Linked DNA regions of Oryzias latipes. The main gene of each other region encodes a partner of the protein of the gene in region 5 in a complex. Links are inferred from orthologs where the notes say so. Each region holds a gene or a part of one and is shown on either strand. Other genes may lie near its edges. The genes, in order: ppil2, srrm1, bcas2, gpkow, plrg1, cwc22 and cwc15.

Region 1 (3,500 bases), on a different chromosome or scaffold from region 5:
TAGCTTGTTGTTTGGTTGTTTGTAGTTTGCCTGTTAGCTTGTTGTTTGGTGGTTGTTAGTTTGTTTGTTGTTTGCCTGTTTGTTCTTTGTTGTGATGGAAGCCGGTCTTTGACAGGTTCTAAATCTGTTTACAGCAGATGGGTTTTGATGTGAGCTTCTCCTTCTTTGTTTTTCTGCATTTTTCCGTCTGTACTTTGAGAGAACAGCATGTCTATTGGTTTAGAAATCATTGAGTCCATGCAGAAAGTAAACATGACACATTTGCCTGTGTCCCCGTCCAGGCCCACTACTCAACAGGCCGAGTCTCCGCCTCCTTCACCTCCACAGCCATGACTCCTTCAACCATCCATGAAGCCGGTAAGCTAGGATCTGTTCCTGTGGGTTCTCCTCTGCACGTCAGCCGCTGACCTGGTTTTGTCTGCTGCTTCTGCTGGGATGCAGCCGTGTTCACTGACTTTAAAAAGATAAATGAAAGGGAATAAAAGCTATTATTATTGTTTATGTCATTGTATCCTGAGGCGGTACATTAGACTTTCTATGAATTCTAATAAGGCAATGTTTTTTGGGTCCACTGGATTTCTCTCTGAAGCAGAACCGGCTGGTCCAGTCCTGACGCTCCTCTAAGGCTGGATTCAGACTGGACGCACTTGGTTCACGTAAAGTAAACCAGAACTAGTCTGAATACACCAAAGTGGACCCTGATCCAGAAGGATCAGGGTCCACTGGGACCCATCGTTTGAGGTGGTCTCGGTTATTTCCAATCGGACTGAGATCCAGTTCGCCCTGCGTTTCCACTGTCTGAACCCAATCTGCTCAGAGAGGAACGACTGAACCCCAATATGTCTGAGGCCTTTGGAGCGGCCCATGTGTGCAGCGGTCGCTGTTGTCTGCACGTTTCAGGTGTTCGTTTTTTTACCGTTGTCTTTGTGGCAGACGCCATCGCCGATGATGCTGTGCGGTACCAGTACGTGAAGAAGAAAGGCTACGTCCGCCTGCACACCAACCTGGGAGACCTGAACCTGGAGCTGCACTGCGATAAGGTGACGTCAGACGCTGCGTTTAAACCCATGCAGCCTTTATTGATGCCGTAGTCGTTTTTTATTTGATCTTTTTTCTCTGTTGGTACTAAAAACATCAGAACCATAAAACAAGAAACACAGTTTCCTTTCTTTTAAATACCGTCGTCATGACGACGTGGAGCGTTCGGCTGGTTTTTGGGAGTGTAGGATGGAAGTGGTGCAGCATCAGACCTGGAATGTGTTCGTGTCTGACCGTCAGTGTTTGTCTCCCCCCCCCCCCCCCCCCCCAAACCAGGTTCCCAAAGCTGGAGAGAATTTCATCCGTCTGTGCAAAAAGGGTTACTACGACGGGACCGCCTTTCACAGGTCCATCCGGAATTTCATGGTGAGGAAGAGACGCTTTTAGCAAATGAGGGGAGAAGGCCTGCACAATATACCGCAAATTTATCGTCATCGCAACATCAAGCTGTGCAACATGCATACCGCAAAAGACGGCAAAAATCGCAATAAATGGTTACCTCAAATTTGCAAAAACAAACTCATGGCAGCCTGAAATGGTGAACAAATGCAAGTAATCCCTTTATGCATTTAACCAATCAGAAGGACCCGTTTACGTTTTTGATCAATCAGATGAGCACTTTTATGTTTGATGTTTGCCTCCTATGTCGACAAGGGTCATTTGGAGTATAATTTTTATACTGTTGCAGTGAAATGGAAATGATGTTTTTGGTTGTTTGGCTATTTGTTTATATACCGCAAATTATATCGTTATCGCGATTTTAATCACCAATATCGCATATCACGAGTTTTCCTCATATCGTGCAGCCCTAGAGGGGAGGTCTGCTTCTGCTGAACAGGCCGGGTCCCAAAGGTTTGAATATTTGGAGCGTCTGCTGATCAAAAGCTGCAATAGATATTCACATATTTGGGTACTTTGATTAAAGAGGAAACGTCAACCCAAACCCGTTCAGATCCAAATCAAGTCCAGCTCCTTTTCCAAGCTCCCTCCGTCCTCCTCCTCCTCATGAGGAGTCGGGGGGCAGCAGGCTAACCGCTGGTCTCCAGTCCTCCATCCAGAGCCTTTCTCCAGATCAGTCAGGGAACCCCAAAGTCCAGGCAAGCTGAGGAACACGGTTCCTCTGGGTCTCCTTCCTGGGGGAGTTTCCCTGAGCAGCGGCTCTTTGCTGAGCTCCTCACCCTCCCTCTAAGGAGCAGCCACTGCCTCCCCCCTTCCAGACGTTTGCATCCAGGATCTCCTCCTGGTCCGACCCAGAGTCTGTAGGTGAGGGGAGGAACATGGACTCTGCTCCTCCTTCACTACGATCCACCCGTCAACCTTTCTGCACTCAGACCTGAACGTCTCCACGTGGAGCAGGAGCTCTGCACACATCCAGAGAACGGGTGATGGAACACAGCATCTCCATCTTCTAAAGCTGACCCTTTCTCTTTCCAGATCCAGGGAGGAGACCCGACCGGCACCGGCACAGGTAGGCGGAGCTTGGACCGCTTTCAGTGGCGGAGCGGCTCTGAATGACTGAAGGTCCTCTTTAGAGATGCTGAACCTGTGGGGACCTGAGAGAGGCACTCAGGGCTGCCAAAGATACCGAGGGGCACTTGGGGTGGGGGCAGTCTGTCTGTCTGTGGGGGGGGGACCGGGCCCATTATCTTCTATCTACTTGCTGCCACTGGGAATGCTGTTTCATAAGGTGAACTTCCACCTTATGCCGACGACTGCCACATGTTTGTCGCTATATGTGTGAGACCCGACCACATGACACCCATCTTGGTCTCTTTGAACGGCGGCGGCGGGTTCTAGGACCAGCGTTCCTCTTCTCCTGGAGGCTCGTCTCTAATGAGACGGAAACGTATTTCTGTTGTCTTTAGTATAAAATGCATTTGGGATCAGATGAAGATCCTCATTGATCCAAACCTGAGACTGTTGCTGCCGCAGAAACGCACAAAACTCTCCACAAAGAGAGGGAAGCTCCATCTCCAGCTGGACATCCCATAATGTTTCTTAGCTGGAACCCTGTGTGGTCCGTGCACACGGCTGCTGGATCTCTTCCTTTAGGGCAGGTTTGGTTCTGAAGTCTCTGTGGGTTCGGTTCTGCTCAGGTGGCGAATCCTTCTGGGGAAAACCCTTCAAGGACGAGTTCCGGCCCAACCTGTCCCACGCGGGCCGGGGGGTCCTCAGCATGGCCAACTCGGGTCCGAACACCAACAAGTCTCAGTTGTAAGGAACCTTGGTCCCTGGAACCGAGGAAACCCAAACACGAAACTGAATCTATGTTCTTCATGTTCTCTGGGCTGCAGCCTGGAGCAGATCTTCTTCAACGTCTCCTCCTCCTCCTCAGCTTCATCACATTCCGGTCCTGCCCCCACCTGGACAGGAAGCACACCATATTTGGAAGGTACCTTTCCAGAGGCTGATCTCCCACAGATCCAGCTTTGGGGCTGCTCTGATTGGTCGTCTTCTCTGCA
Region 2 (3,931 bases), on a different chromosome or scaffold from region 5:
ATTGTATATGCTACTTTGAAGTTTGTAGGGTGGGAAGAAAAAAACTATTCCGTTTTCTTGCCACCACGCCCGACTAAACACTTCTTTTCTCCAGCAAACTCCTCCTTTCCCCCCGAGTCTCTGGTTTATCTCCCGGTGCGGTGAACACGGCGGAGCGGACGAGGAAGCTCCCGGCTTCTCAGGTGAACGGTTCAACGTTTCTCTACCCGCAGGCTAGCTAAGCTACAAAACCATCGTGGAGGCGCGAGGATGAGTGATGACGTTGGGAAGAAGAAACGGGAATATAAGACCGTGATGTCATCAGCGGCGCGAGGAAACTCATAGAAATGTGGGCGGTACCCCTGAAGGAGTTCTGGAAAACTGGAAAGGAACCCAATTTCAAAGCTGGCAGATTTTCTTTAAATTCTTCCATTATTTGCATTTAGCTTTGTAGTAAAGTTAGTTGACATACGTCTTGAAAAGTTCAGCGGGAAAATGTGTAAACCAAATAAAACGTTTATAAAAGAAAAGTTTTAATTCTTAAAGTATGACAAGAGCTAAAGATAATACAAATACTAAAGAAGCCCCACACTGATTAGCTCAGTACATCAAACAAAAATGCATACCTATTAATTTAGAAAAACTTAAAACATCTCTCAATTTAAATGGTTTTAATTTTTGAAACAAAGTAAGTTCAAAGTCAGAAAGCAAGTTCAGTGATGCCAAAGACCTTGTTGTATCATGTCACTGTTTTTATCACAAAAAAATAAAAATAAAAAAAATAAAAGGAGCAACAGTGGATTACTGTATGGTGGCTTTCCCTCTACACTTATAAGGTTGGTGGTCCATGCACAAAGACGATCACTGCACATGCAATTATTCCTCTACTGTACACAGATGAAGGTATCAACCCGCTCAACTGAAAGTTAACTTTTTTTTGTTGTTTAACCATTAGAAAGTAAGCTTAGACAGTTTAGATAATACACTGATGAATTCAAATCTCCAACACTCCAGAATGTATCAAACCAGTAAAAAGGAAACAAGACTAAAGATAAACAATTTGTACATTCTAAAGCCGAACCACTTTGATGAAAAATGGAAACAAAGAACAAAACAAACAAAATTGTCAAAAGTGATTGAAAACTCCAGAAGCGTGTTGCTTTCAAGACATCTGTGATGGAGATGTTTGGGCCTTCCTCATGGAGCGCAGCGCCTTTTCCCGGAGGTGCTTCTCCAAGTCGTCCAAACCGTCGTCCACCTCGCTCTCAGACTCCTGAACAGAGTAAATATACCCATTAAGCATCGAGTTAACCACAAGGGCAATCAACACACATTTTACAGCCACTACTTTACAGAAAATACTGCGTTTGCTTTTACCTTTCTTGAATCTTTTGAATCGTCCTCCTCTGGTCTGGGGTTTTCTTGGCTTTCTTCAGTCACAGTGACCGAGCTTTTTTCCTTCTTGTGCTTTTTGTGTTTCTTATGCTTCTTGTCTTTTTTGTGCTTCTTTTCCTTCTTCTTCTTCTTTTTCTTTCCGCTGCCATCACCATCAGAGATCTGCAATAAAAAAAAGCATTTGGCTTAAAGAAACCAGACATGACCACAGATAGTAAATGTGAATAGACGGTACAGATTTCTCATCGCATTTGTCGGTGGGGTCTAACCTTGCTTGGAGACTGACTAGCAGAACGACTGCTGGCTTTTTTAGCTGGAGGTGGCGGAGGAGAGTGACTGGCAGAGCGAGAAGGCGATGGAGAAACAGACGCGGGGGCCAGACGTTTCTGTGCTGGTGGTTGAGGAGAAACTGATCTGGACCGAGAAGACACCCGCCTCACGGGTTTAGGGCTTAGAGAGGATCTGTGAAAATACAGCTGGCATCAGGAGAAAATCTCAAGATAAACAAGGAAATCATTGAGATGAAGCACATCTGTTTCCTTACCTCTGGGTGTTACGGCGCTCAGGAGTGCGAGATACCCTGCGAATGAGCTTACTACTATGGGATGGGGACTGTTGTCTCCTCTGAGTAGATGGAGATGCACTAGAGCCTTCAAAGCGTCTGTGGGGGCTGGTGGACCTCCTTAGAGGATGACTGCGGTTAACCGGTGATCGAGAAAAGCGCCTGCCTGCTGCAACGGGAGATCGCGTATCCCTGTTGGACCTCACAGGCATCACGGGACTCCTCCTGTGTCTAGGCGGAGATGAAGAGGAGGGAGGTGAGCGCCTCCTAGAAACAGGGGAGCTTCTGCGCTTTGGGGACCTGGAGGGACGCCGCTTTGGACCTGGCGACATGCGTTTCATCGGCGAATTGGACATCTTTCTTTTTTGAGGAGGCAAAGGTGAAGGGCTGTACCGACGCTGGATAGGAGGCGAGTATCGCCTAGAGGACAAAGACCTACGTCTGGGTGGAGGAGAGGGAGACCTAAGAAAGCCACAATCAGAGATTTAATACAATTTTTCTTTTTACATTTACAACAAGCACCAAAATTATAACTAAAAATAAGTTAGTAGAAGTTTCTTATACCTGCGTCTAGGGGGAGAGGGAGATCTGCGGCGTCGAGGGGGTGAAGGGGTGCGGCGTCTGCGCCCAGGAGAGGGAGAACGTCGTCTTCTATACAAGTAAAAATAATGAAGATGAGAAAAACACTCAACACTTCATGACAGAAAGCGTCAAAAATATGCAAACACAGCCAGGTGTGTGACCTTGGTGAGGCCTCCTTGAAGCGTCTACGGGGTGAAGGGCTGCGGCTAAGCCTTTTCTTCACTTCACCATTTCTGGCACCTGGCCCTGCTGCTGACTTATTAGGCCCCTCATCCTCTGAGGAGGACGTTCCACTATCTGAAAAAGCACAAGACAGCATTTGTATTTAATTAGTTTAAAATGTATTTACAGGGTGGATAATATAAAAAAAAAAGGGGAACCTGAGGAAGATTGTTGATTCTGTCTTCGATACTGACGCCGCTGCTGCACGGAGTCTGCTGCTCCCCCTTTATCATTCTTTTCCTCATCTGAAACGCAAATGAACGTTTTCATCAGTATGGAAACTCAAAAAGGACAATACAAGGTATTTGCACCGCTTTTGACAGCATGAGACTAAGCTCTGCTGATGCGTTTTACTGTTTTGCTATTTGTGTTGTATTATTAAGGCACTTTTTATAATGTTTGACTTTTTATTGTTTTAACATTTTATTTGTTTGTTTTTATGTTTTGAGCTTTAAATTAGGGCTGGGCAATTTACTGATGTAATCAATTAATTTGAATTTGTTTTAGACAATTTATTTTTGGGAAGAAGATAAAAGAAAATCAAGAATTTATCTTCTCAGCTCTCTGCTGTCTCGGACTTTCATTGATGGAAGTAAAGTCAGTCAGATATGAAAACATTAGCAAGCAAAAACACGCCCTAACTTCTGCTAGTTGCCTCCGTGTTACCTTCAGTTTAAGCTGATGAAGCAGCAGAATATGTGAGGATGTTTTACAGGATCCAGAAAAAAAACTGGAGGATAAACTTGCTTGATTTACAGCAGCAACAGAAAGTTTAATACAAAGTGTTGATGTGGAAACAGCGGTGTCGTTACACACTGATGCTGTGATGCTAAATCCTAACAAGCTGTTCCTTGTGTCACCTACATGTGACCGGTTTAAAGTCAGACTATTTCTCCACTGAACGGACTTTAAGATGTGGTGGATAAATGGAACCAAATTAATTCATAGAACATTTATAAAAACTGTATTATATAATTATAAAAACAGGCACTTTGTATGGAACTTTATTAGAAGTGCCTTTGTAAGATTACAGAGTCGGTGTTGAGCTGAAAAAGTAACAACCACATAGTTTTGGTTGTTGGAGTGTATAAAAACTATTTTATTATTCCTAAATGTTTTTCCAGGTAAACAAAGTTCAACTCAGTTAATCTGTAAACTCCACTAGTAAAGAATTCCAATCTACATTTATGC
Region 3 (3,708 bases), on a different chromosome or scaffold from region 5:
CTGTCAGTTGGGGCCTTGAGCTTGATGTGTATATATATATATATATATATATACACTAATTAATTTCAGGATAAAAGCACCTCCATTGCAGCTTTACTTCCATTGTGAGTTAATGTTTTGTGAGTTTTTGGGTTGTGAGTTAATGTGTTGTGTGGTAAGTTAATGTGTTGTGAGTTAATGTGTTGTGACCTTTCTGTGCCACTGACCAACAACAAAGATGAAGACTCATCCAGGAAGTCATGGAAGACGCTGAGACTTTTGAAAATGGATCAGCACAAAATGCTGCAGATTTCTGAGATCAAAGTTCAGTGGATGTACAGAAGACAGGGGATCTGACACAAAACCGCCTCACTCTAGGCCTCAGACTTTAGGTTTCACTGTTCTTCAAGAGGGATGAATGACAAACCATCCAGCTGCTCCCATCTGTTAGCTTCCAGCTCATCAGCTGCAGCTCTGAAGCTCAGAGACTTACAGGTAAAAGACTGAAAAAAATAACAATGTGTATGAAACGTTCATTTTATTAAAACGATAAAAAACAAAAGTTGAATCAAAAACAGGATTTTTTTTCTCCACCACAACTTAGAAACTGTACAACAAGCTACAAAGACATCGATCATGTCGATCGATCATGAGTTTCAAACCATGATTTGTGTGTAACTGAACACAAAAGACCCAACGGTTCCATCAGAGGAAACCGACGCCTTTCAAACATCATCCGTCTTGGAGTCGAGTGACCCGCTACGCTCCAGCAGTCATCGAGTCGTCCAAACCAACCGAATCAGATCCATCCAACGGATCCCGGTGAGGTGACTCCTAAAAGTCCTGTCGGATGTTCTCCTTGTTCTCCTCCCCTTGCTGCTGCCTCAGCTGAGCCACCTCGTTCTCCAGCTGGACGATGGCGCGCTCGATCTCATAGTTTTTACTGACCAGCGACACCCAGCTGGCGGGAATCAGAACCAGAGTCAGACATCACCCCTCATCCACGAGAACACCAGAACTTAAGAAGAACCTACTTGGACTCCAGCTCTCGCAGCTTGGCGCCTGCAGCCAACTGATCGTTTTTGCGCTGCCAGTTCAGGTCCTGGATCTTCTTCCTGCCGGCATAAGTTCAGAAATGTGTAACCATGGTAACCGTTGGATCTTTTCAGGCATGTATGATCCAATCCTCAATCACCTGAACTTGTGGAGTTCCTTTTGAGCCAGCTCAATCAGGAAGGCCAGATTGCTGAAAAGGGACAACATTAGCTTTGAGTCTTCAGAAGAGTCAGACACCAAAGGGTGAGACCCACAGGCCGCCACTCACTCGTTGTAGACCTTCCACGCGTTTGTTCCATAATGCGACATGAGCTCCAGGTTCTCGATCCGGATGGCCTGGTGCTCCAGCTGGGCCATGGAGTTATTGACACACTCCTGCCAGGCGGTAATGTCGTTCTTCTGTCCCGATGTGGGGGCTGGAAGCTCATACCTCCACAGCAGAATAGAATCGTTCTATGGAATCACCCTAAACTTTCTCTTTCTTTTACATTTACAGAAATATTGTACAGACAGACAGAGTGTGTTTTTTACCTCTTCATGCTGAGGAGGTCCATTGGTTGTCGAGCGGCTAATCGCTCAAACTCATTCCTCATGATTTCTGTCTGAAACCCAAAACAAAACGGGAAAGGATTATAAACCGGTTAGCCAACCCAGACTAGGAATCAAGTTTCAAATGTCTGCAGGTTTTCACCTCAAACGGCGAGAACTCCGGCATGGGCAGGTAGCTCAGGTAGTTCTTAGTTGGGCGATACCTTCTGGTCTCTTCTTCCACCAACGCAGCGGCCTGAAGGGCCAAGTACAAATGATTTCTCTCCATTTTTCATACAAACATGATTTAAAAATGAGCCACAACCCCTGATGATCTAACATGTCAACTTAGTGTCACCAAACCCTGGTTCTCCAGATCTGCCGGCTGTTTCAAACCCCTCAGCTGTTGTTTTACCCGATGAGGTAAACAGCAGCTTTGGCTTTGAAGGTTTTCATCCTAAATTATGAACTTGTATAGTTTCAAAGCAGAAACCTATAATGACAAGATCTAAAGAAATATACAGGCGATCATAATAATAATGGTTTGGCCAACTATACATTGAACGGCGCGTTACCATGCGGCATCGCTAGCTAACAGTTCTAACTAGCTATAAGTTAGCTAGCTTTTAAAGCAGCATTCTTGTTTACCCACCGCTTCTCTGACACCTGGTGCGTCATAACCTTGATCAAAATACGGCAACGCATCAACAAACACTTCGCCAGCGACCGAGGCCGTTCCAGCCATGTTCGCTCCCCAGTAAAAAAAAATAAAAATAAAGAAAGAAAGTCCTTTTCTGCTAACAGACTCCAAACGGCTAATCAGAAACTTCCGTTTCCGGTCAAAACTTTCCGAAATAAAAGTCTCAACGGTGTTGTATTAATCGTGATTGTCGCCTCTTGCGTTGAGGAATGGAACTGCAGCTTAGTAGATAGATAGACAACTTTATTTATCCATTTGGGAGGTTCCCGCATGGAAATTGACATCTCCATCGCATACAGCACTGGTTGACATACATATAGGAAAAAGGAAAAAGCAGCACAGTGACTAGAAAAATGAGGAAGATTAGAACAGTAAAAAACAATTTAAATATCTGCAAACAGTATATACAAAAAAAAAAAAGTGATTCAGGCCCTTTCCCTTTCCTTTCTGTCCCCCTCCCCCCTCCTAAGTGGTTTGATGGCCCGGGGGTGGTAAAGAGTTTGATGGCCCGGGGGACAAAGGAGTTCCTCAGTCTATTAGTCCCGCACCTTGGGAGGAGCAGCCTCTTGCTGAAGGTGCTTCTCTGGCTACCGATAGTCATGTGCAGAGGGTGGCTGGTATTGTCCAGGATACCTGTCAGTTTTTTCAGTGTCCTTCTCTCTGCCACAGTAGCCAGACGGTCCAGCCTTGTGCCAACCACAGAACCAGCCCGCCTGATCAGCTTCTCCAGCCTGGAGAAGTCTGTCTTTGAGGTGCTCCCCCCCCAGCACACCACAGCGTAGGTTATTACACTGGCGACCACAGACTGATAGAAGATCCCCAGGAGCTTCTTGCAGATGTGTAGTGTAACAAACTTCAGGTTTCAGCTATTACTGCACTACAGTAAACCTTTAAAGAGTTTCATATTAAATTTCAACAAATAAATGCTTTTTTTATCTTTCTTTTGTTGTTGTTCTAAAAAAATATATAAATAGCTTTTTCTTCTGATACAAATGTGATCAATCTTGTAAAAATACTTCATCATCACTTCAATATTTTTTTTTAAATAATGTATATAAAATTATAAGTTTACGTTGAAGGCATTTCATCTTAACAATACAGAAATAATAACCAAGAGTAAATAGCCAAGAAAGGGGAAGTACTGGTATGTGTATGCATTATAGTATGTAGGGCCGCACAATATGAGGAAAACTCGCTATATGCGATATTAGTGATCAATATTGCGATGAAGATATAACTTGCAAAAAATGAACAAATAGCAAAAACAACAAAAACATTTCCATTTCCCTTCAAATGTTTAGTATAAATAAGAGTCAAAATACCTTAAATTTATCTTCCAAATGACCCTCGTCTAATTAGTAGGGCAACATCTAACGTAAGAGCTCCATCCGATTGGTCAACAACGTAAAGGGCTATATCTGATTGGTCAAATGCATAAAGGGATT
Region 4 (4,141 bases), on a different chromosome or scaffold from region 5:
AAAATTGCATTGATTAGAGTGAGTGAAGGTGTCGGAGAGTGGAGGCAGGCGAGATCAAGCCGAAAATATACCAAGGTTGACGCCTCACTGTCGTTAAATGCGATCTTGTTCTGAAAGAACAATCCACATGTCTCATGTTTGAAGGTTATCTCGAGAAGTTCCAGAACACAAAGGGGAGGGCAGGAAAGAAAAGAGTTCAAGTACCGCCCCCTAAAACAGTCTGTGCACTACCTGGATCTGTGGTATCACCTTTCGCTGTAAAGTCTCACTTAAGGCAGGAACAGGAAGGCAGACATAATGTGAAGGCATGTTTAAACCAGATCATCTATCTATTCAGTCCAAACAGACTGATAACAAACTCGTACTATTTTCGTTCTAAACTACAGAAAAGCAATGGGAGAAAGATGTTACATTTTAAAATTAAGTTTTAAAAATCAAGTTTAATTTCTGATTAAATTTAGTTTTGGTGTGGCCTTTTTCTCATGATGGTGGACATATATAAAGAAATAGCACTTCTGAATATACAGTCAAATCGTTGTGAATCAAATACTGATGGGAAAATATTTGTTCGAACATGAATGTCTGTTTTCCCTGTCTGAGCTGGCATCTGGCTCAAAACTGTACAGTTCGATATCTCCAATACTGGTCACCATTTTTGTTGCACCTCTATTGTTAGGTTGGGGTTGTGAGGGGCTGTAAGCGGGAGAGAGTGTAAACAAAAGGATGATGGGAAATGAAATGAGGACAGGCTAACCCTGCTCCAACATTCCCATCTACAAGTCACAAGTCATAGGCGAATTTCTGATTAAATACTGCAGCTCTGCAGAACCTATAGCCTAGAAAACGACACAGATTTTTTTAAAATTCCCCAAAATGGCATCACCATAAATAAAAGATCACTGGGAATGCGTTTACAATAGATCAAAAGATGATTGGAGTTGGGACTTTAGATTATAAAATGAATCAATCAAACTGGTTAGATTGATCAAACATTGTTTACTAGTTTGTGTTCAAGGGGTCAGAAATGAGTGTCAAACAACTTGATCTAAAGGTCTAGATTACTTTTTTAACTTTCTTTTTTTAATTTAAGCATCTAAAACACAAGCAAAATATGCTGAATGTTTTTGTATTAGTAAAATGTTTTTACTCTTTATGGTTTTTTGTATGTAATATCATTTATTAAATCACTTTTACATTAGTTTAATTGATTTTTGTCATTACTTTAAACAGCTAAATATAAGCTATGTAACTTTACGCTTTGATGCTTGATGGGCAATGTAGTCAGAAAAACAAAAGAAACGCTTGAGGGCGATGACCAACACTACAACTCCCACAATACACCGCTTCAGCGTGGATCTTCAAAAGCAGTCATGGCGGCTCAGGGAGAAGGAACAGCGGCTTTTAAATCTGTCCCATTTGAGGACAAGGGCCAGAAGAAAACATCGATGGTGTCATTTGGGTTCACAAAAACAGTTAACAAATTTAAAACCCCCAGCGCGGAGGAGTCGAAGAAGAAAGAAGAAAAAGATTACTTGACCGGGATTCACGAAAAGGAATTACAAAGGTAAGCTAATGCTAATAACGCCTAGCATCAACGTAGCATTTGCGTTTCCGAATCTATGAGTAAAATGTCTTTAATTTAACATATACGCTCTGTGTTTGTTTCTTCTTTATTTAAACAGGAGAGCGCGTGTTTTTAAGTTGTGCTGTCTTCTGGTTATTTTCATTTTTTTGTGTCCTTCAGCTCAAAACAAACGGAGAAACCCAAAGAGCTCATCATCCCTCTGATCCAAAAGAACCGCTGGCACAAGCCCGACCGAGCGGGCCAGAACACGGAAGATGACGGTAAAGCTCAAGAAAAAGGCCAAGACAGCGACTCTGTGGAGTCCCAGGCTGTCAAAGAACTTATTGAAGGTAATCATTAAAGCTTTAAATGTCATCCCTTTATTTAGTTCCTATCATGGAGATGTTTACTCTAAATGTTTCTATAAAGCTCTTCTAGGAAAGTGAAAGGTCTAATTTAGGGTAAAGGATGTTCTTAGCATAATAAATTGACAGATGCGTCTATTACTTAATCTTAATGGATCAAAATGTAGATGATGTGTTATTTTTTTTACAAAGTTCACCATGGTTTTATGATGCCCTGGACCCACCTCTGTTGCCATAGAAACCTGAGGTATCATCCTCTACAGACAGGCACACACTGGTCATATCACGTGATTGGACCAGTCTGCTTTGTTTTTATTCCCAGTATGACATCCCGAGCCCCAAGTATTTCTTGTGTTCTCATCCTCAGAAACTGTATCTGTTGTTTTCTGAATACAGTAAATGACGACGGAGTTTTAGGGCCACCAAAAAAAAAAAAAAAATTAAAATTACGACATTTTATCTCGTAAATTTACGAGAAAAAGTCATAGATTAACAAGGAGAAGACACCGAAGTTGTCCGTTTATCGGATCATCGCTTGAAGATGAAAGATGTGGAGCCTTTTGTGAAGCTTTATTTTCGGATTATTATAGGTTTAAAACAAAGATTCTGAACCTTTGGCGACTCAAAATCAGATTATTGTCAGTAAAGGCGGCTTTCCGAGGTTCAGTGTCAGCGGAGTTTCATATGTAAAATAAGGACCTAATACTCCGTCGTAGTGAATAAATCCTCCTTTTAAAAACAAAAAACAAAAAAAAAAGGTTTGTTTAACTGACCTAAAATTATCAGACATTCCATCCATTCATTCTCTAAACCTACTGAATCCCCCTCGGGGGATAGGGTTGCTGGAGCCTGTCCCAGCTACTGATGGGTGACAGCAGTGTACACCCTGGACAGGTCGCCAGTTCGTCACAGGGCCACACACTCACTCTTAAGGGATCTTTTAAGTGGACTGCTGGAGGAAGCCGGAGAAAACCTACTCCGGTACAAGGAAAACATGCAAACTCCACCCGGGATTTGAACCAGAGCCTTGTCGCTGTGAGCCAAGGGTGCTAATTAATGCCTACATTCTCAGGCTAAATCAAATCTTGTATACTCAATTGAAGCCTCTTTTTCTTTCTAATATAGGGCATTATAAGGATCCTATAGTGACAACATTTTCAAAGGCAATTTTTCAGATAAAAGACTTCAGTGTCACATTTCTAGATGTGTACTAATTACTTACAAATGAGTAAATGACTAAAGAATTCTTAAAATGTTTGCATCAAAAGTTAATTTACTTTGTTGTTCAATAAAACCAAAAAAAAAAGACAAATTTCTTCCTCAAATACCTGAAAAAACTCACTGAATAAAGGATATATTTGTGCTTAAAATCTTTAACGAATGTGGGGACCTTTTGTTGATCACTTTTGTTGCCTTTAACCTCTCCAAGTTTACAGTTGAAAGGTCCTGGTTTAATGTCAAAGCTGCACCTACTTATTTGCAGTGCTTCTATATCTAAACTTTAATTAATAAAGAAATATAAAGACTCATCAGCTCTCTCATGTCTCAGATTCCCGGAGGCAGCTGGAGCAGTGGCAGAATGGGTCTGAATCAGAAAAAAACCTGAACCTTTCCATCCCTCTGTTGATGCAAAACAAAGTGCCAGAGGGCTTCGAGGATGGAGACCTAATAAATGTGGGGCTACGTCCTGAATCCGTAAGTGTATTTCATGACCTTTTGTGTGTTTTCCATAAAGGAATCATTAATTCTTTGACCGCATTTCCATCGTATGAATGATTAAACAAGTCCTTCGACTAGAACAAAGATTTAAATTGCCCACTATAAGTTAAGGAATGCATATTAAACTGGATGAACAACCTAAAAGCTTGAAGTCCTAGTCCGATCATATTTTGATCTATTGTAAAAGCTTTCCCACGTGATGATGCAGTTTTTGAAAAACCTGTAGTTTTCCAGGACATAGCTTATGCAGAGCAGCAGGAGTTAATTCAGAATTTGCGTCCGAGTTGTAGTCGGGACCAATGGCACAGAGCAACCCCGCCCCCCCTTCCTTTCCCCATAACTGAGGGGATGAAGCGGGGAGCTTGTGGCCCTGCCAGCATATTTTTTCATCTGCTCCTGATTCACAACGATTTGAATAAAGAAATACTCAGAGATGTCATTTTGAACCTTATTTTCTCAATATATGCCCTCCTTCATGTGAAAAATGTCACAA
Region 5 (4,238 bases):
AAATATTGGCATTAAAAAAAAGAAATTTCCTTTCCAGGGACTAATTGTAGAATTCCTAATTCTAACAATTATAGTCTGACTTCCTTGTTTTTGCCACGATTTCAGACCCTCATGGTGTATTTTGGATAAACGAGGAATGTTTTTCTTTTTTGGATCAGTGTCCTTAAATTGAACTTTTGTTTACAGGGGCGTTTACATTTGTTCATACACAAAAGAACTCAAAAGTGTTTTGCTTTCTCCAAAAACCCCAACTATGGTTCCTATGATAAAACAAAAACAATTTTTTTCTGCAGCTCTAGACATTTGAGCAGGATTATTTTTAATACATCTGTATTTATTTATTTAAAGATCTGAGCTTTGTCACTTCTTGTCTGTCATGTAGGATTTTTCTTCCATGTGTGACATATATAAAGAGTAATGAGTGGATTCCGATCTTACCCTCGCTGTGGCATCTCTGCTGCACGTCATCAAGACATCAATAGTTGGATGAAGGTCCAAATCATACACAGCACTGAGGTGGCCATGATAGTGCCGGATTACCTAAAACACAAAATACTCATGTCACTAAAACACCAAAACTCTGACGTATGAAGAAAAAGAAAGAAATGACTGAACTTTTTGTCTTTGTTTATATTCAAACAGCCCTAAAATGTTTTTTTTTAGAGATATTGTGAAGAGAAGCTTGTACCTTGTTGTACTCTAGATCCCAGCATTTGACTTGCTTATCCTCTCCGCAGGAGAAAAGGTACGGACTGCGGCTGCTCACCGCCACTCCACGCACTGTACTGATGTGTCCAGTCAGAGACAGTTTCAGCTTCCCACTGGCCAGGTCCCAGATCTGAAGGAAAAAGCAAGTCTCATGATATCCTTTCCCTGTAACAAAACACTCCTGGTTCTTTTTTTTTTTGCTGTTCCACCTCAACAAATGCAAAAAGGAGAAGAAAAAAAGCTTTGTAGTGTAAAAACAGTATAAAAACAATCAGAACAACGTATTGTATAAATAAAATAAAAAATAGAGAAGAGATAACCTTTATTGTTCTATCTGCAGATCCTGTCACAAACCACTGATTTCCAGGCTCCACAGCGATGGACCTGACCCAGCCCAGGTGGCCGCTGATGACCTGTCAGGTGACAAAAACCTTTTTAGTAATCACGTGAGATGTTGCTTCCCCTCCGTCACCGGATTTGACACAACTGAAAAGGAGTTCAAGGATAATTTGCAGTTACTCTAAAGAGTTTCCAGGGAGGATGCCACTGCGGTTTGGGCATGACCGGCGTTCTCCTCAAGAGGTTGGAATTTCTGGTGCCGCCTCCTTCCAAGAGCAGCTGCAACGAACAGATTGTTGCGTTAGAATTTTGTCAACCAAGACTGGGTGAGAAAAAAAAGCGCTTAAGAAGCTTGTGATGTACCAGAGCGGTGGACTGAGCGTGAGCTCTTTCTGCTCCACGACGGATCTCTGCAACTGTGGCTGCAGTGCGGCTGGACTCTTGTCTAAAACAGCCATCAGAAGACAAAAAATAGATATATCAATGAATCCCGAAAAGTTGATTCAGTACTATTTGTATTGATTGACTGAACAGGATTACCTTGCTTGTGATGGTGGTAAAGCCAGAGCCAAGGAGTGGATTCCTGACTCACTGGGGTTTCTGTGCACTTTTGTGTCAGCTGTCAGGGCGACTCCTGTTGGGTTAAAGACATAGATAATAAAAAGCTGGCTAAAAAAATGAATAAAGTTCCTTTAAGCTTGGCTAAAAGGAAAGTATTTACCAGGTCCAGAGGGATAAGCGTGCGTTCCCGTGATCAGATATTCAGGATCATCTGCTGAAGTTGTCGGAAACCAAAGACAAACAAGAAAAAAAAGTCAGATTTTTACAATTTAAAACCAAAAACACTGAACGGTGATGCTTCCCACTCACCCGGCTGCATGTAAGCTTCGTTGTCGTGGAGACCGTCTGGATACTGTGACATCCTGTCCTTTCCTTCTTTTAGCACTGGCATGTGTAACACAGGACTGTAGTCTGCCTTTAGCTTCACGGCCAACTTCAACTTGTGGCTTAAAACGAAAAAAAAAAAGAGGAGCTTCAACGCAAACCCACCCGTGTGCCCACGTGAAGTGGAAACATATAGACAAACCATCTCCAAGTGCCAAAGATGTTTATAATCAAAACATGAAAAAATATATTTTCTCCCAATGCATGCCTAAAAGGTTAAAGTAACCCTTTTGATGTGAACTATTGCATAATAAACTAATAAACATATTATGAACGCACGATTAGCATGACCGTGAGTTTTAACTAAAGTGATGATACACATTTTAAATACAGAAGTCATAAATGTAAAAGCTCAGTATACCTTTCATCATCTAAAGCGACGGCTTTAGCATGGTCAGCCACGAACATGTCATGAGTCCTTTTCAAGGATCTGAAGACCAAAGTGTGGACTGAGTGTTTCTGGACTTCCTGTAACAATTAGAAGGAAAAAAAAGTTTACTTGAAAGACGAGTCCATGTGATTTATCAGGGGGGATACACTACAACGTGTGAAGATTCAGAACGTTAACATCCAGTAGTTAGACGGGTCCAGTGCTGTGTGAGTCTAAAGCGTGGACCAAAGAAAATCAAATAACTCAAATAAAGTCTCACCTCGGTCATTGTGGCGATAATAAAGATTGATATCACACTGCAGTTAAGTAGTTTTCGGTGAATATAATCCACGAACACCGTAGGTGTAGCAAAGCGACAAAAACAGTCCACCGCCGCGACAAACGAGTCTGCATGACCCGGAAGTACAACAGCCTGAAAGGCTAAAAGATTTATTTTATGAGCGCCCTCTGGCGGTACGTCTCATCCCAGCGTCTCACAGTGGCGGAGATTATGTTTTTCTATTATCAAGCCCCCATTTTTCGCAATTTCTCCGGGACGTTTTGAAATACATATACATATTTTAGGGGGTTTCAACATTTTTTTTAATTATTCAGTAAAAAGGCAAATTTAAACAGTTCTGTGCCGTTTACACATTTGGTGCAGAAATAAATTAAGGGTTCATATAAAAAAATAATAATAAAAAATAAAACATTTTGTTTTTGATGTGAAAAAGAACTAGTGTCTGGGAATTACTTATTCCCCTTTGCTAATGACCATTCTTCCAGCCTCTCATACATGTAGGCTGGACACTACTGAGTCTGCTCTATTTAGAAGTTCACAATTGTTGATTTTATCCACAAGTTGGTTTGATTTGTTTTAGTTTATTAATCTTTTGCTGTTAAATTTCCCTTTTAAACCAATTTTATTATTTATTAAATATTGTTTTAATAAAAAGGTTTCACAAAAAAAGCAATGAACTCATTTATTAAGAGATGAAATAATTTACAGTAAATATTTCAAAGGAAAATTTGATTTGGATAAATTCCTGCAACAACCAAAGCAGCCTGAAAATAGTACAATCATCTAATCTTATATAATTGGATTCCAGTTATTTCTTGGTTGTCAATGTATTATTAGTGCTCTGAAGATACATTTTCAGGTTTTTCTTCAGTTCTTGCTGTCCTTATCTATGCTTGTAATTTCATTTTCTACCTCCTGCCTTTGATTTCAGTGGTTCACAGCACAGTTGATTTTCATCAAAGACCTGAAAATTGTGTTTTCTGTGTTTTTAACATGTTCTTCAGCCATTTTTCTCATGATGGAGGACATTTATAAAGAAAATTTAGCTGCAAATTGCATTTCGGAGTATTTCTTTATTCAAATGTAAATCAGGAGCAGATAAAAAAATACTGTTTGAAAAAGGTTGCATTTGATATGCAGAAAATACCCTAGGTGGGTCAGAAGCTTCCTGCTCTGTGCTTTGGGGAAGGGGGGCAGGATTGCTCCACACCAACAGTCCTGCCCACAACTCAGAGGTGATTTTCTAATGACTTACTGTTGCACTGCAGAAACTATGTCTTAGAAAACGATACGTTTTTCAATTTGTGCCAAAAAGTGGCACAATTAAAAAGCACAGGGAACGCTTTTCTAATAGATCAAAAGACGATCAGAGTGGAACTTTAAGCGTTCTGTGTTCATAGGGCCTCTTGATTTGACTCTTTTTGGTGTCAAACTGAATATTCGTTGGCATAACTCTTCCACTGACTGGCCCCTGTTTTCCCTGCAGCTTGATCTCAAAAATTTAAAAAAGTTTAAGCCTGAATTTAGCCTTAAGGACTTAAAGAACTGATGACTTTTCAAAGAATAAAAAAAAAC
Region 6 (3,204 bases), on a different chromosome or scaffold from region 5:
AACAAATAGTCCACGTAGCGCTGCACTATTGCTGCAGTCAAGATTCGGCGATATATGCATATATATATATATGCTGATCTTTCCGATGGGTTGAATAAAGAATCAGTTCAGAGAGAAAGTTCTCCTCTTACCGCTTGTTTTTGTCCAATCGATGAAGCAAAAGGTTGTTTTAAAGAAGCCGGCGCAGTGATACGAAACATTTAAGCTATGTGACTGGAACTTCTTCTTTCAGCGTGCGGTCATCCTGTGGTATATCACTTTTTAATGCACACCCAGCAGCCAATCAGAATCGAGTATTCACCCAGACCATGGCATAAATTCAAATAATACACAGAAGCTCATCAATGTTTGAATCTTTCAGTAATTTTTTTTTAAACTAAACCTGACAGAAGTACCCCTCCCCTATAATTACATTAACAAAATATCAATAAAATCCCTACAAACCAATTAACTTTACGCAATAATAGACAGTTTTATTAATCTCATAAAGAAATACTATGTCAATTTATTTATATTTACCAACGTAAGAAGATTTTTAAGCTATTTTAAAGTGTTAAACTGTAGATCTGTAAAACTAATTTCTGGTATATGTGATTTGCTGCTTTTTCCTGTATTGTGTACTGTATTGACAGTATCGCATCTAAAGAAGCAGAAAATAAACCATTAAAACCTTGTTGCACTTCTCCCTTTAGGACTTTGCAGCCGTTCTTTGAAGGTCTTTTTCCTCGTGATAATCCCAGAAACACTCGCTTTGCCATCAACTTCTTCACCTCCATCGGTCTGGGAGGACTGACGTGAGTTGCAGAGACTCCACACACACTCATCAGACTAACTTTTGTTTTCCCTCTAACTGTTTAGCTGCAGAATGAGCGACTTTAACACCAACGTTTTCTCTCTGTCAGAGATGAGTTGAGGGAACATTTGAAGAATGCTCCAAAGATGATCATGACCCAGAACCAGGAAGTTGAGTCCTCTGACTCCTCATCTTCCTCGTCGTCCTCCTCAGATTCCTCCTCAGAATCTTCTAGCGAATCTGATTCTTCATCAGACTCCTCCTCCTCCTCCAGCAGCTCAGGTACATCAAGCCACAGAGAAGCTTCTGTTTTTCTCTTTACTGCAGTTGTACTGGTGAAACTAGCAGCTCCTTATATACTCTGATTATATAATTTTTTTTAAATAATATTTAAGGAGTTGAACTACAGCTGCGGTCCTTCTTTGATGCAGAAGCACCGACTTTAGCCCAGACTATGACTAGAACACATATAAATCTTAAAGAATTTAAGACTTAGAACATAGTTTTTCAGTAGCTACAGAACCTGGAATCCACCATTAATTCTCAAAACAAGATTTTAAGAATAAATGGAATGTTCTTGCAAAAATGAAAGGAGAAAAGTCAGATCATGTCTAAACTTTGGCTTATATTCAATTGGATTTTTGTCAGCTGGAACAAATCAGAGGAGCTAATGTGGAAAGAAATCTGTTTTTAAGATAAAGCAACAAATTAAGGTGACAAATTGTTGTTAACTTCTAGTTGCCTAAATATATTTTTTGCTTAAAAAAAAGTCACTGTTGGCTTTCATGTAGATGCTAAATTAAGGTAAGTTTGGGGGCGTCTGGGTTTGTTGCAAATTTGGATCAAAAGGTTCATAATTAACTCACGAAATCACCAAGAATCTTCTAGAGTTTCCTGTGATTTCTACAAACGAATTATTTTTAATAGTACAGAGAAGTGGCAAAAGAGAAGTCTCTGTTTTTTTCTGTTTAGCTTGTTTTTTTCTTTTCCTGATTGGCTGTTGACCTTGTCAATCAATCTCTCCCATCCCATAGCTTCACTATAAAATCAGGCCCTAACGTTTTAACTTGTGAATAAACACTTTTCACACCATTTTTTCCCCCGTGTTGTCTTCCAGACTCAGACAGCAAACACAAAAAGAGAAAAGGACGCAGAGAAGAGAAGAAAAAGACTGAAAAGAGCAAGAAGAAGGAGAAACCTGACAAGAGGAAACACAGAAGCAAGCGGGGCAACGATGAAGACGACGATGACGACGAGAAGGCAGCGAGGAAGGACCAGAGGAAGCACGCACCAGATTTGCCCGAGCGCGCCCACGAGGACTCCCGACGGCGTAGGCGGGACGAAGGATCAGAGGAGGAGGAGGACAGAAGACGAAAAATGGACAGAGCAAGAGATGGAGAGAGAAACATGGAGAGGGAAAGAGGGAGGGATAGAGGGAGGGAGAGAGAGGTTGAGGAGAAGAGGGAGAGGGAGAGGAATAAAGAAAACCGAGACAGAAACAGAGATGACCGCAGGAGGAGATAAAACTCCACACCTGCAGCAGGGAGGGATGACCTCCTTCAACCCACCGCTACCGCTCTGCTGCTGTCGATCCGGGACCCGCCGCTTATTTTCCTCTTTTATTTTCTCTATGAAATGAGATCTAAACTGTTTTAGAAGTTTCTTTGTAAATTGTGAGTTTTCCAGTCTTTTTGGCTCATTTGTAAAGAGTTTAGTTTTCTTGCAGGAGATCTGTTTTTGGTATGGAGCTTTTAAAGGAACAGTTCGTCCTTTTTCTGCTGTAAAAACTGTCAAAGTGGCGCCAGTTTCATTGAAACCGTAAAGTGGCAAATATTGTTAATTCTTTATTACAAAAAAAATTAAGTTCTTTAAAACTTTTGCAAATAAAAAAACGTATCATTGATGAACAAAGTCTGTGTGTACTTTTATTTTCTTAGTTGGAGCCTGACTTTTTGACCTGCATGAAGCTCTCTGGGAATGAACTTTGCATCCTTCCAACTGAAATTTCCTGACATTTCTTTTGCTAAGATGTCATTTTTTTACTACCCAAAAGAGTCTGAAATGAATTGAATATTTGAGAACGCACGAAATGATCAAGAACTATAAAGTGAAAGAGAGAAGGACCACCATAAATGTTTTCTCTCCATTGCATGTCACCTTGATGAAATGTTGATTTCTGATCTACTTGGAAAGAAGAGTTTTAATTTAAGGATGGCCTAAAAATCTAACAAGATTCTCTACAAAACCCCTCCAAGATTTTACCTATATTTGATTTCATGAATCTTCTTTCACCGAATAGGGGCTCTAAGTAAAGGTTTTTTTGCAGAATTTTACAATTATCAAGCTTAAAATGTTTCTCTTGTTGTTAGATCTAATTGTGCAGATCTCCACCAACAACTTAACATTTCTTC
Region 7 (3,947 bases), on a different chromosome or scaffold from region 5:
CAAGAATCATATTTTTCCTTGATTATTAAAACATTGTGTTTGAACAAAGTCATGCTGCTGACTGTAAACACAGAGGTACCAAAACAAAATGGATCAAATGTTTTACTTTGCGTTCTTGCTCTTCGGCTCGCTCCTTCTTTATCTTCTCAAGCTCAGCCAACAGAGCTGCAGTGTCGTCATCATCACTATCTTCATCAGAGTTCTCATCCTCGTCATCCTGTGAAGAGGAAGGATTTTAGAGAGGATTAAGGCTGCAATGGCCTCATGCAGCACAACTATGGCAGAATGGTGACAGCCCCCATGCACTGCTGACGTTCTTTTCCACTGTTTAATGACTTTTAAATAAGTTGACATTTTCAGACGTATTCTCAATAAAAGACATTTACAAGAGAGTACATCAGTCTTTATTTGTAGTGTGCACACTTGGACACTTTTAAGTCAGCTACAGTTATCAGTTTAACTAATGCCACCTTGTTGGAGGTACCAGTGCTGGATGTGTTGCTGGTAGCTGTAGATGTGGATGAGGTTCAGCTTCAGGAGCTGTACTGTGGGACCGACCATAAGAGGCAATGCAGGGAGTTTAGCCTTTAAATACACCAGCCTGGCATTTGGAGAGCCCCAGTCTGCTCAATTTTTCCAGAGGAGGAACAACGGTCATATTTAAATCAAGTTTGTTTGCCACACTTTTTAAATTTTGTGTACATTTTTTTTCTTGAATGAAAAAACTAAGTTTTAAGTTTACCCACAATTGTTCTTTTAGGTGGTCTGATCAGCTAAAATTAACCACAAATGAACCATCTGGGATGTTTCAAGTTTAATGTGTCCAAAGCAGAGAAGTTGTACAAAAGAAATTGTTTGTTAAAAGTCAACTTTACAGTGATTTTTCCCCAATTAAGTCAATCCAGGCATTTTATTGCTAATTTTAATATTTACAGTCTTTAAAGAGAAAGTTTTATAGCACTAAAATATCAATATCTATTCAGATCATGTCAAGTGCAACAGCGAGAAAAGGTCTCATCTCCCAGCCGTAGGTGTACTGATGAAATGTTTTCTTTATTATATCAGTGCAGACACTTACATCAGTGAGAGGGTCATCAGCATCAAGGTTAGCAGCTGGAATCTGATCCAACCTGGGCCTCTTTGATGATGATGAAGATGATGAAGAGGATGTAGTGTGTTCTGGAGAGAAAAAAATGTAAAGACTGCATTTACAGAAAAATACATACTTTGCTTGGTTTATACTTGTGTGTCAAAAACAGTAAGTCTAAAATTTTGATAGAGACTAACCTCTTGGTCCCCTCTCTCTGGTCTTCTCACGTGCTGCTACACGCTCCTTCTCCTCCAGTTCCCTACGGAAATCACGGGCACGCACCTCCTCGGGGGCATCCTGAGTGGGCTGTCTAAGGGATCATAGCATTTTCAAGACTAAGTCCCACTACAAACTCCAAAAACCACTCATGAGATAAATAGTAACATGTACAGTTGGGGGAAAAAGTATTTCTCAGTAACATATTTAGCAAATTGTCTAATTTAAAAAGATGAGAGGTCTATGATTCCATCATATACACTACAACTGTGAGAGATTGAATGCATATTAAAAAAAAATATATAGCGAAAATTGTAAAAATATTTTTTGTAGAACTTGCACAATTGGTAAATGCAAACCACCCCTCCTACACACTGTAGCTACAATTTAAACATAACCTGCAGCAAACAAACCATCAAGAATTATCAATACTAAATGATGTACTCCAAATGTACAAAAGCTTTATGGTTATACAATTTAGTTGATAACCATTTTAATACTGAGCAATGACTTATTAGATGCAAGATATTTGTGAGCAAATTATTTAACATTTTCTTAAGGGTCATGGAGAGACACTAAATAGACAAGAAAATGCACACATGCCCCCCCCCCCCCCCATGTCATAAACTGATTCATGTGATGCTCCAACGTGAGGTTAGCTTAATTGTACCCAACACATTATACATGTAGACATTTAATCAAGTGTAGATTTATGTTCCACTTTTTAATAATTATAGCACAAAAAGACTAATTTAATCAATCCGGTTTGACCATTTCCCAAATAATTCAGATTGAATCTTCGAGAATCTTAACATGATTAAATATGTTTCTTTCAAACAATCGCTTTCTTTTTCAACTGAGCTGTCGCAGCAGAGTTTAATAGGAACTAAAAACCACCTGTATTTGATCTTGGTGTGACCTGGAAGATCTCGGCTGGAATATTGCTTGGACAAGGCACTCAGATCGCCTTCTCCTTTTCCTCTCCCTCCTCTCGCCGGCTCAAACGTTGGTCTTGCTGCGGTAGTCATCCCTAACCTGCTTCAACAACAACACGGTATTTGTCAAACATGAGTACAGTTATTTTCAGTTAGCTACTGTACTTTAAACGCAGAACAAACAAGGTAACATCAGTTGTATATAACAAAACATATACATACATTTATCGATTAAACAGACTTTAATACTTATAAAGGGTATTACTAGCCACCAAATTTGATTATGCTAACACTCAGACAAGACAAAAAACTCATTTTGGGCTCTTTAGAAAACTTATTTGTTTTAAGATTCACTGCACACTAATCAAACGAGATGTATGGCTACATTTATCATATTTATACCGTTTTAACAAAAAAACATCTGTAAAAAAACGTCTTTGACTTGGAAAAAATACTCACGATTCCACTACACGGCTAGCGGAAAGAGGATACCATAGAACGTCACTTCCGGATTGAAATTGCTGTTGCGCATGCGTCAAGAATACGATTCTGTTGGTGCGTTTAAAAAGAATTGGAAAATGCATTACTCATTTCAAATGTAATCTGATATTTATCGTAAAGAAATTACTATATTGTACCAAAGGAGAAAGAATTAGCACAAAAATGCTTTGTTACACCTTTCTTTTTCAAAATGCTGTGGTGATATTCCAGGGTACATGGTTGAATTCTAAAGCATTACAGCCAAAAATGTCTATTACTGATTTCAGCAAACCAACACTCACATTTAAAATGAAAAACATATAAAACCTTTGAGCACTGGTGTAAACAAGGAAGTGTTTACGAGGAGTCATCTTGTCTCTTCTTTTGAAGTAACCGGTAGAATTACTGTAGAAATGTGCGATTAGGGTTTGCAAAACATTTTACGTGGCCACCATGGGGCAATGTGCATCAGGTTCAGTGTCTTCCTGTAGCTTAATTTCTCCACTCAAAGTGAACATTAACATCACAACATGATTTTTAAATATAGTTTATTCCAAATTGAACACATTATTTTTAACTTTATTTAACAGTCTTGATACGTAGATTCTATTAAACATAATTGAAACACTTGTAACAGATGTAAAATTCCTGTCTTTTTCCATTTTAGACCTGATGAGTCTTCATCCTTAGGTTTTGAGATGTTCTTCTCAGATAATATGCCTTCCTCTTTAAAAGGATGTTTCTCTGGATTTGTGCCGTTGGACTCTTTGCTGCCTTTGGCTTTAACTTCAACTACAGAAACACTGGTTTATATTTGTTCAGTGTTTGCTGTTTAAGTTTGATGAGTTTATTTTATTCTTTTCCAAAGATATATCAATACATAATTGTGAAAATACAAATCTAAAACACCTCTTAGGCTCAAAAATACACTCTTAAATGAAAGGGAGAAGAGAGAACATGATTTGCCCCTTTTCCCCTTAATACTGAACAATATTTGGATTGCACCAAACTTGTCCCTCCCCTCCAATGTTTTAAGAAATGTCTGAGAAATGACAAAAGTATTAATCAATTTATAAATAATTTAATGAAAATCAGGCATAACTCTGGAATTTTTGTACAATAATTAACTAGTGAAATGACTGGACAAAGTATTGGTAACTTAAACTTCATATTTTGTTTTCTGTGCCTTTCAATTAGAATTCTGCACCTGTTTGCAGACATTTTAC

What was found.
Region 1: plrg1 (region 5) and ppil2 share a complex: the UniProt entries of both Homo sapiens proteins name them as parts of the minor spliceosome. The link is inferred for Oryzias latipes from reciprocal best matches to the Homo sapiens genes PLRG1 and PPIL2.
Region 2: plrg1 (region 5) and srrm1 share a complex: the UniProt entries of both Homo sapiens proteins name them as parts of the minor spliceosome. The link is inferred for Oryzias latipes from reciprocal best matches to the Homo sapiens genes PLRG1 and SRRM1.
Region 3: plrg1 (region 5) and bcas2 share a complex: the UniProt entries of both Homo sapiens proteins name them as parts of the PRP19-CDC5L splicing complex. The link is inferred for Oryzias latipes from reciprocal best matches to the Homo sapiens genes PLRG1 and BCAS2.
Region 4: plrg1 (region 5) and gpkow share a complex: the UniProt entries of both Homo sapiens proteins name them as parts of the minor spliceosome. The link is inferred for Oryzias latipes from reciprocal best matches to the Homo sapiens genes PLRG1 and GPKOW.
Region 6: plrg1 (region 5) and cwc22 share a complex: the UniProt entries of both Homo sapiens proteins name them as parts of the minor spliceosome. The link is inferred for Oryzias latipes from reciprocal best matches to the Homo sapiens genes PLRG1 and CWC22.
Region 7: plrg1 (region 5) and cwc15 share a complex: the UniProt entries of both Homo sapiens proteins name them as parts of the PRP19-CDC5L splicing complex. The link is inferred for Oryzias latipes from reciprocal best matches to the Homo sapiens genes PLRG1 and CWC15.

The regions. Positions count from the first base shown.
Region 1 is NC_019867.2:622,324-625,823, forward strand, and holds part of ppil2 (peptidyl-prolyl cis-trans isomerase-like 2), read left to right. Parts: intron 1-281; coding exon 282-357; intron 358-933; coding exon 934-1,040; intron 1,041-1,314; coding exon 1,315-1,404; intron 1,405-2,472; coding exon 2,473-2,506; intron 2,507-3,134; coding exon 3,135-3,252; intron 3,253-3,373; coding exon 3,374-3,430; intron 3,431-3,500. UniProt on the Homo sapiens protein: Has a ubiquitin-protein ligase activity acting as an E3 ubiquitin protein ligase or as an ubiquitin-ubiquitin ligase promoting elongation of ubiquitin chains on substrates.
Region 2 is NC_019880.2:16,885,006-16,888,936, reverse strand, and holds the end of srrm1 (serine/arginine repetitive matrix protein 1), read right to left. Parts: intron 2,986-3,931; coding exon 2,899-2,985; intron 2,816-2,898; coding exon 2,680-2,815; intron 2,588-2,679; coding exon 2,501-2,587; intron 2,399-2,500; coding exon 1,919-2,398; intron 1,837-1,918; coding exon 1,644-1,836; intron 1,537-1,643; coding exon 1,357-1,536; intron 1,253-1,356; coding exon 1,142-1,252; 3' UTR 501-1,141; downstream 1-500. Other genes in the region: clic4 (chloride intracellular channel protein 4), read right to left, coding at 1-2. UniProt on the Homo sapiens protein: Part of pre- and post-splicing multiprotein mRNP complexes. As a component of the minor spliceosome, involved in the splicing of U12-type introns in pre-mRNAs. Involved in numerous pre-mRNA processing events.
Region 3 is NC_019865.2:942,938-946,645, forward strand, and holds bcas2 (pre-mRNA-splicing factor SPF27), read right to left. Parts: upstream 2,413-3,708; 5' UTR 2,309-2,412; coding exon 2,216-2,308; intron 1,820-2,215; coding exon 1,727-1,819; intron 1,638-1,726; coding exon 1,567-1,637; intron 1,466-1,566; coding exon 1,304-1,465; intron 1,226-1,303; coding exon 1,175-1,225; intron 1,095-1,174; coding exon 1,014-1,094; intron 941-1,013; coding exon 814-940; 3' UTR 501-813; downstream 1-500. UniProt on the Homo sapiens protein: Required for pre-mRNA splicing as component of the activated spliceosome. Component of the PRP19-CDC5L complex that forms an integral part of the spliceosome and is required for activating pre-mRNA splicing.
Region 4 is NC_019865.2:21,307,923-21,312,063, forward strand, and holds the start of gpkow (G-patch domain and KOW motifs-containing protein), read left to right. Parts: upstream 1-1,341; 5' UTR 1,342-1,370; coding exon 1,371-1,564; intron 1,565-1,744; coding exon 1,745-1,914; intron 1,915-3,478; coding exon 3,479-3,624; intron 3,625-4,141. UniProt on the Homo sapiens protein: RNA-binding protein involved in pre-mRNA splicing. As a component of the minor spliceosome, involved in the splicing of U12-type introns in pre-mRNAs.
Region 5 is NC_019859.2:20,800,946-20,805,183, reverse strand, and holds the start of plrg1 (pleiotropic regulator 1), read right to left. Parts: upstream 2,801-4,238; 5' UTR 2,652-2,800; coding exon 2,643-2,651; intron 2,461-2,642; coding exon 2,354-2,460; intron 2,055-2,353; coding exon 1,918-2,054; intron 1,823-1,917; coding exon 1,769-1,822; intron 1,682-1,768; coding exon 1,588-1,681; intron 1,493-1,587; coding exon 1,411-1,492; intron 1,327-1,410; coding exon 1,228-1,326; intron 1,122-1,227; coding exon 1,029-1,121; intron 839-1,028; coding exon 689-838; intron 541-688; coding exon 439-540; intron 1-438. UniProt on the Homo sapiens protein: Involved in pre-mRNA splicing as component of the spliceosome. Component of the PRP19-CDC5L complex that forms an integral part of the spliceosome and is required for activating pre-mRNA splicing.
Region 6 is NC_019879.2:6,690,272-6,693,475, reverse strand, and holds the end of cwc22 (pre-mRNA-splicing factor CWC22 homolog), read left to right. Parts: intron 1-692; coding exon 693-794; intron 795-902; coding exon 903-1,075; intron 1,076-1,910; coding exon 1,911-2,317; 3' UTR 2,318-2,704; downstream 2,705-3,204. UniProt on the Homo sapiens protein: Required for pre-mRNA splicing as component of the spliceosome. As a component of the minor spliceosome, involved in the splicing of U12-type introns in pre-mRNAs. Promotes exon-junction complex (EJC) assembly.
Region 7 is NC_019872.2:16,000,765-16,004,711, forward strand, and holds the start of cwc15 (spliceosome-associated protein CWC15 homolog), read right to left. Parts: upstream 2,801-3,947; 5' UTR 2,701-2,800; intron 2,345-2,700; exon of another isoform or gene 2,342-2,344; 5' UTR 2,335-2,341; coding exon 2,204-2,334; intron 1,401-2,203; coding exon 1,288-1,400; intron 1,180-1,287; coding exon 1,079-1,179; intron 218-1,078; coding exon 107-217; intron 1-106. UniProt on the Homo sapiens protein: Involved in pre-mRNA splicing as component of the spliceosome. Component of the PRP19-CDC5L complex that forms an integral part of the spliceosome and is required for activating pre-mRNA splicing.